2 linked regions of the Daphnia pulex genome follow. The protein of the gene in region 2 interacts with the protein of the main gene of each other region in a pairwise test. Links are inferred from orthologs where the notes say so. Each region holds a gene or a part of one and is shown on either strand. Other genes may lie near its edges.

The links. The genes of interacting proteins can lie anywhere in the genome.
Region 1: the proteins of protein LTV1 homolog (region 2) and 40S ribosomal protein S3-A-like interact in a two-hybrid assay, tested with the Caenorhabditis elegans proteins (2 studies listed by BioGRID). The link is inferred for Daphnia pulex from reciprocal best matches to the Caenorhabditis elegans genes T23D8.3 and rps-3.

What each region holds. Positions count from the first base shown.
Region 1 is NC_060025.1:408,081-412,759, reverse strand, and holds 40S ribosomal protein S3-A-like, read right to left. Parts: upstream 2,736-4,679; 5' UTR 2,623-2,735; coding exon 2,590-2,622; intron 2,386-2,589; coding exon 2,302-2,385; intron 2,242-2,301; coding exon 2,006-2,241; intron 1,942-2,005; coding exon 1,754-1,941; intron 1,692-1,753; coding exon 1,504-1,691; 3' UTR 1,412-1,503; downstream 1-1,411. Other genes in the region: general transcription factor IIF subunit 2-like, read right to left, coding at 3,991-4,107, 4,167-4,310, 4,371-4,495, 4,560-4,646.
Region 2 is NC_060017.1:1,279,177-1,284,956, forward strand, and holds protein LTV1 homolog, read left to right. Parts: upstream 1-2,482; 5' UTR 2,483-2,636; coding exon 2,637-2,639; intron 2,640-2,725; coding exon 2,726-2,896; intron 2,897-2,967; coding exon 2,968-3,135; intron 3,136-3,204; coding exon 3,205-3,298; intron 3,299-3,371; coding exon 3,372-3,504; intron 3,505-3,572; coding exon 3,573-3,765; intron 3,766-3,830; coding exon 3,831-3,989; intron 3,990-4,061; coding exon 4,062-4,257; intron 4,258-4,326; coding exon 4,327-4,544; intron 4,545-4,614; coding exon 4,615-4,728; 3' UTR 4,729-4,776; downstream 4,777-5,780. Other genes in the region: dmX-like protein 1, read right to left, coding at 5,210-5,323, 5,386-5,487, 5,546-5,769.

The DNA.
Region 1 (4,679 bases), on a different chromosome or scaffold from region 2:
AGTTCTGGAAAAAGAAATGGAATGCATTCAACCGATTTTCAATGCTGACTCCAATTTAATATGTAAGAAAATGGCGATTAGTTTTTATACGCTACGAATACCCTTCATTCCACCTATAAATTATGCCCCAAATTTTTATTCTTGGCACGTTGTCGGTACTATTAGTTGTTCTATGTCTATGTCAATACGACCAAGTCTCTATGTGTACGCCAGGAAAACTTACATTCATTACAGACATGACATAACTTCTTATTTCTCATGTTCTCATTTTATAATCGGGATATTTTTTCCGGGGAAGTTTGGTTAGCAACAACAATAGGACCGCGTGCATCTCAAATAATTTTTCTTCTGTCACGGAGCAGAAAAAAAAATGCCTTGTCATCCAACATTCGTTCAGTTTCTTTCAATATTCAAATACAATTTGTTGCATTTGCTCGATTTCACAGCCGCGCGTCTAAATTCACGAGCCGAAAAATTGCCATGTCATCTAACAGAAAACATTCCTGTAGTTTCTTTTAATATTCGTCTGCGAATTAATGCATTAGGGTCCAGATTCACGAAGTTTCTGTTTTACGTTTTTGGCATCATAAACACGAAAAAGAAACTTGGTAGTGGGAGACAGGTTGAAAAGAAAGAACTTTCACTGGCCAAGAGCCCACTAGTCTTGCCACAGTTCTCAATAGCTTGGGGAGCTCTGCAGATCAGATATCTGACTTGGGAAAAACAAGCAGTATCAAACCAACTTGAGCAACATTCTAGTCATCACGTGATCACGCCAACGACAAGCTTATTATTACTTTTTTGTTCAGTAATAATTTCAGAACAAGACCATATGCTTAGTTCAATGCCTCACTAGTGAAACCCCCGGATTAAAAGTTGTTTAACGACCCATTGTATCAAGTAATGTCTAGCTTTCATCCTGAATCACCAAGAAAATGCTTAAATGTCAATGCTCACGTAAGCTCTTAAATACACTAGATTAAGAAAATTAAAGAAAAGTTCTTACCTTTCCAGTAACACGAGTAACCACAACATCGACAATATCGGTAACATTTCACTTTAACTTTTCTTCATGAGATGGATAACGATAAAACAATTATAAATTAACAAACTGCAGCAGCTCTGCATTGAACCGTATTTTGAAGTTCACTGTCGGCATGTAGTGCACAATTATTCTACGAGAACTATTTTCAGCAACCGACACGTTCAATTGCAGAACCACTTACTGAAATAAGTCTCACGCCGACAGCGGTAGTTGGAAAACCTTGTTTTTCACGCAGACCTTACTCTAATTTACTAAGATTTTTTACACATCAATTCTTGGACTTGCTTCATTACCTAAATTAATTGGTAAGTTTAATTTGAGCGTAAAAAGAAAAGTAGGGTGTAGGATAATAAATAAAACACAACCTTGACCAGGCAAAGCATGTATTTAACTCTCGTTTCATATTGGAAACTACGGTAGTTAATCGACACCAGCCCAGTAAATAGACGAAACACTCCTTAGGCAGCAGCTTGGGTGGGAGGTGCTGCTGCGATGTCGGACATCTTGGCTGCTTTAAGTTCCTCTGCGATGTGTGTCTCATCTTTAGGTTCCAGGATGGAAACATTGTCTGGCAAAGGTCTCTTGGGTCCGTTCTTGTTGTTGGGATCCCACGGCAACATGATCTTAACCTTAATACCAAGTACTCCTACAATAACAAAGATGATTAGAAAGATTCCTCCCAAGTCAATATAATGCACAATAAATTACCCTGGCGAAGCAAGACGTGTCTGACGGCAGTGTCGACGTAGACGTTGGTGGGTTCTCCACTGTGGATCATCAGACCATCGACGAACTTCATGCTCTTGGCTCGCTGACCTCGAAGTTTGCCAGATACAACAACTTCACAACCCTTAGCTCCAGACTCCATGATGAAACGGAGAACACCATAACAAGCTCTGTGTAACAACACATTACATCAGAAATGCACTATTTAAACGTCAGCCTATTGAATTAGCTTACCTGCGAACAGCCAAACCACCAATGAGTTTGTAGCGCAGGGACTCAGCTTGGGCAATAGCACACAAGCCACGAGTAGCAACCTTCTCAGCATAGAGCTCAACAGTTCCCTCTTGGAAGCCAAATCTCTTTTGGACAACAGATGTCAACTCGCGAATGCGACGGCCTTTCTCACCCAAAACATTCTGGGTACGTGTAGCCAGAATGATGATTTCTGTGCGAGTGGGGGCAAGGCGCACCTAATAGGAAAATGGGTTTTAGATATCTACACAGTAACAAAATAATTTCACAAGAATTACCTCAACTCCAGAATAACCATCTTCGGCCAATTCACGGGTCAAGAAGGCGTTCAATTCAGCCTTGAAGACACCTCCCGCCACAAACTGTAATACAAAATTATAAGAAAATTAGGTAAACTCAAGCACACTGACAATAGAAACATGTCAAGCCAAGACGAATTTTATCCTCCAAAATCTTTCACATCCTGGTTAGAAACTGTTCTATTTCATCAATAACACCTCAATATTCAAACGGTGAATATGTGAGAACAAGATGAAAAAGATTCACGTGTTGAAAGAATTACTTGCCTTTCGTTTTTTCGAGATCTGAGCCGTAGCCATTTCACGTATTTTAAGACCGGTCTACGAGAGGAAGAAGGAATACACAGTACTTTTTCTGTAGACGAAGTTGACAAGCCCAGCATTGCCTCCTTCTCAACCCCCTCTTTCGGAATTCATCTTCCCACATAATTTATTTCAGTTTGCTTTTTAAAATTTTTTCAACTATCATTATAGAAATAATAAATTATAAACAAGTTTAATTGGTTCATATTTGTTTAAAAGATTTCAAAAGTTTTATTGTAGATTTTCCATCTGTCAACTCCGACAGGAAGTCCGAAATTCAACAGCGTTGGACGAAATCAAATGTTATAAGTAGGACTGTAAAACGCCATTTGAAGCATGTGAAGCTCCCCCATCTGGTTTGATTGCTGCTAGCCAGTTTTGTATTCGTTTCGGTAAATATCTTATTTAATTCATGCAACTAAGACTGAATTTTGCATTCCTTTGAACCACACTAGCTCTACTTAGCTTATAGTGGCCAAGCGGACATGCTAAATTAAAATTTATTCTGATCTACCGTTGTCTCCTTATTTGGAACACATGGATTGAACCGAATTAAAACATTTGATAGTAGTAACATAAAGTAATTGATGTTGAAGGCACTGAGGCACACTGTGGATAATTTGTTGAAGTGTGCTTTAAATGGTTTTCTATGATGTTGAAATGCTAATTCTTATTCTGTTGTTGTACAGGAACCCTCACATCGCTACCTGAAGTTGCAGATTTCCTGGTGAAATAATTCTGTTTGGTGTATTTTATAGTATCTATATTGACAAATAAACAATTTTTAAAATTACATTCTGGCAAATTGTAACTAGTGAAAATTAAAACAAATTAATTTGTAGATAACTATATTCAGCGTTAAATTGTTGGTTGAATCATGGTTGGATGATGAATCTCATCAAGAGACAGGCTGTTGCTATTCTAATAGATTATGGCTTTTGACTGAGATAATATAATGTTAACTGTAAGTAGGGTACCATGAAAAGCTGTAAATATTAACATGTAACCTTTTACTTGATTCTTGTTTTTACAATCTTACGATTCTGTTTAAAAGGGGTTCCTCGTTAGCACATAAGCCTACTTTTCGCACTGAACTCGCTCATGAAATCATTTCTTCCTGATATGGTTGGGATAAATTATATTGGTAAAATTTTCAAGTTCGCATCGATGTATTGGACCACACACTTGTTAGCACGGGAATTTTTAGACGAAGGGAAAATTGTAGCCTAAGAGAACATTTTATCGAACAATTTCAAGGGCAGTTGAAACCCATTTGAGTTATCTGAAGTTATGTGCATCCAAGAGCTGTTTAGTAGTTTTCTGAAAATCACAGCTTTATTAGAAAGTTAATGGACTGTTTACTTATTAGTCCTTGTCTTCATCTTTGTAGTGGCGGTATTCCGGTTTCAGTTCCCACATGTTTTTGTGAGGATTCTTCAAATTGTATACACAAACATCCTTCAAAATTTCCTTGAGGTAGGTCTATAAAAGCAGAGGGTTTTAAAAGTGCAAATGCTTGTATGAAAACAACTTTTTCTTACCACAGGTTGGTTGGTGAGTTTTACCAAGTCCTTGATGTTGTAGTACTGATGCTTTTCAAAAGCTGCAAACAGCATGTCCATAACTTTGCCCTTATCATCTCTGGCTTTCTTACCCTCAGCTTTCTTCTTTTCGTCGAATTCTTTCTGTAATCAGGAATAAAAGGTTATGATGTACCAAAAATAGACGAGAATTGCTATATTTACATTATGCTTGTGGTCAGAGATGGGTTTGTAACTTTGAACCACTCGATCCAATTGCTTCACAATTCTTGTAGGTTGGGCAGCTTTAATCAAAGAATCCCTTTTGAGTTTCATGTAACTTGCATTTGCTGATGAAAATAAAAATCATTAATGCTCACTTCAAGCTTAGGAACTTTATTTTGTTGGTCTCACCTGTTGGTCTACATTCAAGCTTCTGGGCAACTTTGCCTTCAAATATGATCTTCTCAGTTTCCATAGGTGAGTTCGCGGTGGCTGGAGCTGGGGAAACAATACAAAAATGTCAATATTAAA
Region 2 (5,780 bases):
GGGTTCAATGCATAGGTGCTACTTTAGCAAGACACTGTCGTCAGGAGCAGGTGAGCTGATGTCCTACTAAAAAACAGAACAACAAAAATCAACCCATTCGGTCTTCCCATGGTCCCTTCCGCTAAGTCCGTACTCTATCCAGGTGAAGAACTGACTGGCGAGAAAGAGAAATTTTGATGGTTTTTCGACGTCGTCGTCGCGTTTTCACTTTTTTGTTTCGTCGTGAATATTGCGCTGGCGTATTTCCATCGTGTTGAGCTGCATTACGTTCGTTTTTTTTCTGTTTCTTTATTTTAATGGTCCTCAACTGTTGGATCATGCTGGGATGCTCAACGGAATCAAGGACGTGCGCTACAAATGAAGGGGAAAAAAGTGCCAGTTTGGTCCGGTTCGATTGTATTACAACAGTTGTTATTCGCGTATTTCTTCAGAGTCACATAGCGAAAAGCTTACCGTATGATATAACGTGACAAACGATCTATATACGTATATATACATTAGATTGCTCTTTGTAGAGTCAGACCAACAGAACAGAAGTGAAAGTTTTTTCGTGAGATGTATCTAAAATTCAATCGTGTCATTGGAGCTCTGCTATGCGCGTCGTCACGTTTCTCTGCCGAACCTTGGAGTCTTAGATCATCACACTGTCTAGTACATAGGAGATCAAGTCACGGTCATCTCACAGAAATTATCATCAGCAATCTAATAAAAATACAAACAAGTTACGACAAAATCCCGCTGTGCAATGCACGAAAGCGAAGTTAACAGAAGGTTACGTAACAAATGTCGATTATATATACGGCATCACTTCGTTAACTAGTTGATACCATTTATTTATTAACTGTGTCTTGAAAGCTGAAAATACTTCACTTCATTGGCCATGAAGTTCAGATCCCTAATTGGTTCTAGACTTCTTCGGAAACGGCTTCCGTCGCAAATTTGCATTCGGCTATTTGAATTATTGATCCAGTTTAATGAGGCATAAATTTTTGAAAGTCTTTCAAAGTAAAGACGGACCCTGCGCTCCATGCGATAAATACAAAATATGAATGGAGCAGCATAGTACATTAAGAATGGAACAAATTTAACAAACATTTGTTTTTTTATATAATGAAAGAAAGTTGTTTAAACAAATGCCATTAAAAAACGATGACCAATTCTTCGGCTCTTCTCAGGCGTTACTTGGCATTAATTATTTCCTCGTCGTCCCTTTTCTTAGCTGTCGGTCACTTTATTCGGCTGCCAAGAAATGACTTTTATCTCTGAAAGGAAAGCGTAAGAGTAGCTAGTCACCACCGAGTTCTGTTCTGTCATACAGCACCACATAAATTAGTAAAAAACCACTAAGTGTACTGGTGTGGCTTTTGAAAATGGGTCGCTCGTATTGTCGTTAGTAATTCATAACAATCTATCAAAAGTGGTAAAAGGACTGTGTTTAGTTACCCGAAGGGTTACTGGTCAAAGTTTCGTTTGCAGTATGGTTTACATGGGCACCCTCAGTTCTCGTAACACTACATAGATGGATGCACTAGTTTTTGGCAATTATTGATTGTAATCAACAATTTTATTGCATTTCAATGGCAGTAATCGGTAGCTTACAATTTTTTACATCTATTCTGAAAATTTGGCTGCAATCGATTCAGGCATTTGATCAAACGGAGTTCTGGTTACTTTTTGACAGAATTTCAATAGCTGTTACAGCAGACGATAATACAGAGACATGTGACAGGGATATAAACGTAACGTGACAATCGACTACTATTGTATGATAGAATAGAAGTCACTGTATGTTATCACCGAACGCTATCAATCTCCAGTAACAGAAGTGCTGATAGGTAGTTACTTAAATTTAATTTTAACAAGATCCGGTGTGACGTGGGGTGGTGGGGCGAAGCCTCCGCCGCACCAAAGTCACGCCTTACCCCTACGCCGCGCCATATCATATTAGGTTTTTTTGGAATTTAATTTTTATTTAATGTTTGGATAGAAACATGCGGAAATATTCTTTTAATCTCTTTCTCGATTTTTGCTTATTACAATCTTCCGGAAACTAAGGGCATAAATTTTTTTTAAATGTTATTAATCCATCTTAATAATAGGCCTACCTTTATAACGGAATATTTTTATTATTCTATAACTATTCTATAACTCTGTCTTTGTAAAACTATACCAATACTACTATACCAACTAGAATACCCTTAACATTCCCTTCGGGTACCTTGCGGCGTACGTACGCTGCCTACAGTTTTTGTTCCACAATTAACTATTTTTCGTTCCGTGTAAACGCCATCTCTGTACGATATCCAAAGTTCGTGTAATAATTCGTTGAAAAATGAAATTATATCACCAAATATGATTGTGAATGTTTTTCGGCTAACCGTATTCGATTTTTTTTTACTCCACTCCACCACAATAACAGATAAATATCAAAATTTACGCCAAATTTGCAATTAAAATAAAACATTTTAAATCTGGCAATCACTTTTCACTGCTCTGTGTTGAGCAGACGAATGTACAGGTTTTAGAAGCGTGAAGGATTGTGGTCTTGTACTTGCATGGTACTTGTTTGACATTTTTTGTGAAGTCCGTTGATTTATTCAGTTAACTACGATTAGATCTATTTACACTATCGGAAAATGGTACGTGAAGATTCTTTTAGTCACATTAATAACTTTTTGAAAATAATACCATGATAACATTTCGTTTTGACATCTCTTTTTGACAGCCCAAAACAAAGAAATTTATAGACAAGAAAAATGCAGTCACCTTCAACTTGGTACATCGAAGTCAAAAGGATCCTCTTGCCGCTGACGAGCAGGCTCCTCAAAGAGTTCTAGTTCCAATTGCTCTGAAACCAGAAAAAAGTACTGAAATCCCTGCATCCTCTAAACCAAAGGTATGAATAAATCAAAATAAACAAATCAAAATTAAAGGGAAGTGTGATTTATAAAAGGTTTTAATATTCAGGATCCTGCCCAACAGAAAGAAGAACTAGCTAAACTTGGAATATACTTTGATGATGATTATAATTACCTGCAGCACTTGCGTGATGTTAAACAAACTGCTGAATGGGAACTGGCAGAAGATTCTAAAAATTCAAGAGTCTGGAAAGCACCAGTTGCCAGAGGACTTTCAGTAAGGATCTATAGGATTGGCTGTATGATAGAACTATTAGTTGACATTTTTTTTTCTATTTGTGGTTAGGACCATCCCTACAAACTTGCCCTGCCCTCCTCAGTTTTCCAATCAAAAGTGGAAGAAAAAGTTGGACTACTAAATAGAGCTGCTCCCCACTCAGGTTTTCATTTCTTTAAGCCTTGAATTTAATGTCAAAATTTGAGAAAGGATTTAAAAGTTACTGAAAATTGTAGGACCGAGGCCGGACTTGGACCCAGACATAGTTGCAGCTTTGGACGACGACTTTAATTTCGATGATCCTGATAATGAACTAGAAGATGACTTTATTGCATTTGCTAATGGAGTACCTTCTGACGTTGAAACAGAGTATGTTCTCGAGACAATTGAATTGAATTTGGATTTGCTTATATTCATTTTATAATTATGATTAATAGCGAAGATGATGGCTCCAGTGGTGACGATGAAGAAGAAAACGACGACGTATTGTGTGACATGCGAAGCGACTCAGGACAACGTTCACCCGATTTCAATGACGATAACAAATCGCATTTTACTGAATATTCGATGACCAGTTCAGTTATCAGAAGAAATGCCCAGCTCTCGTTACTAGACGACAGATTTGAACATGTATTCTGATTTGACCACTTTCATTTGATTCAAAGATTACAGTATTTATGGATTTTTATTTGTAGATGATGGCTCAGTATGACGACGAAGAAATGGGCGCTTTAGATTGCGAAGAGATCGAAGGACACATCACCTTACAAGACGATGAAGTGTTGAAATTGGCTGCGGCCTATGAACATGACAAGACAGAAGGCATCAGATTGGGTCGTGAAATTGGCAAAGTAGTAAGTTGCAGTTATCTTTTATTTATTCTCAGGTTGTGAATATCGACGTCATTCTTGTGAATCGAATTTTAGGCAAGAGACGAGGTGGAAGGAGCTGTAGAAAGGTACTTGGAAAAGTACCAGAGCGACGAAGAAAATGACAGCAGTTCAAGTGAAGAAGGTGAACAGGAACGTAAATGGGATTGCGAGTCTATCCTGTCAACTTACTCTAACATTTACAATCATCCTAAACTCATTTCTGAACCACAGAGTTCCAGAATTATTAAAGGTTCCAAGAAATTTAACTTTGGTGTCCATAAAGCTCAAATCTAATTAAAAAATTTCGTTTGATTCGTAGTGTGTCCCAAAACAGGTGTTCCCCTTAATGTCCTGGGGAAACCCGGTCTGACCAAAAAGTTCTTAGATCAACTCGATCAACAAACTGAAGGGACCAAAAAGAACTGTGTCGAAACGCAGTCCATCATCAGCACATTATCGACTATATCCATTCGACCAAAAGATGAAACACCAGAGCAGAGAACCGAAAGGAAGCGACTTGTAAAAGAATATCGTCAAGTAATAAGCGACAAATGTTTCGTGTGTCAGTTTTCACTATTAATGTTTGAATTTTATATTTTCTTAACAGGAAAGAAGAAAGGAAAAGAAAGCCAACTCGTTAGCTTTCAAAGAAGAAAAGAAACTACAAGAAAAACAACATATAAACAACCGTAAAAATGTTAGTGGCATTAAATTGTTGTAGTGGTTTTTTCAAACTTCGAATACATCGCCAGATGTACATTCACCACGACGCATTTGTTCGGAGGTTTTGGAATTATTTGTAAACGGTTCAATACATCAGCACACACGTAACGCATTTGTATTCCACTTGCTCGACCAAACGTGCTAGCGACATACAAAATAGGAGGAATGACATATTACCAGCCGTTCAGAATGTTGTTAGTAAAGTGTGTGGTGGTGTGGTGATGGTTTTAAGGAAGGTAAAGGTTTGGAAACATCGAGCGACGACGCTGAAGAGTGGAATGGTTGACAGGTAATAGCATACTAAACGTGACTAGCACAACGCAATCCAATTCTATAAGTAATCTGAACAGCCAGATAAATGACATGTATCAACGACATCCTTAAAATATTCAAGGGATTCGAGTAAATCGAAATATTAAAAAAATTTAACTAAACGTTTAGCCATTACCCGCAACTGCCCCCATTAAACATTTGTTTTTCTAGTAAAGAGTTGAGACAGCGGTTTCTCTACTCCCCACATAGGGTAATTGACGAAGCTTCATTGAACCATCAGAGCCACAAGAAAAGAGTCGTCCTGACGTGTCCAGATGAATCTGTTAAAAATTGAACAGCTATTCAGTAATTCCCACACATTTACAAAAATGTAAGGACATACTTGATTTACGCCATTTCCTTGCCCCATGGAACGGAAAAAGGATGATCGTGAATGTTCAGCAGGAAACGCGTAAAGTAAATGTTGTGTAGCAAGGCTCCAGACCTTTCAGTGAATACAAATCATTACAACTTCCATATTGGTTGATAAGAACCTTATATACCTTGATATCACCGTCAGCAGATCCAGTGGCAAAGAATTCTTCATTGGGATCTAACGCCATGCATTTGATCGCAACAGAAGAATCATGCGCAGTGAACTTGTGACGAAGTGTTCGTTGTCTCAAATCCCATAAGCAGACGATTCCTTTGCGGCCAGCCGATATCAGGAGCTGATGCTGAGACGCATAGAGCAAACTGGTGCCTCCGTTTTCGTGACATACAAATGCTGCAGGGAAA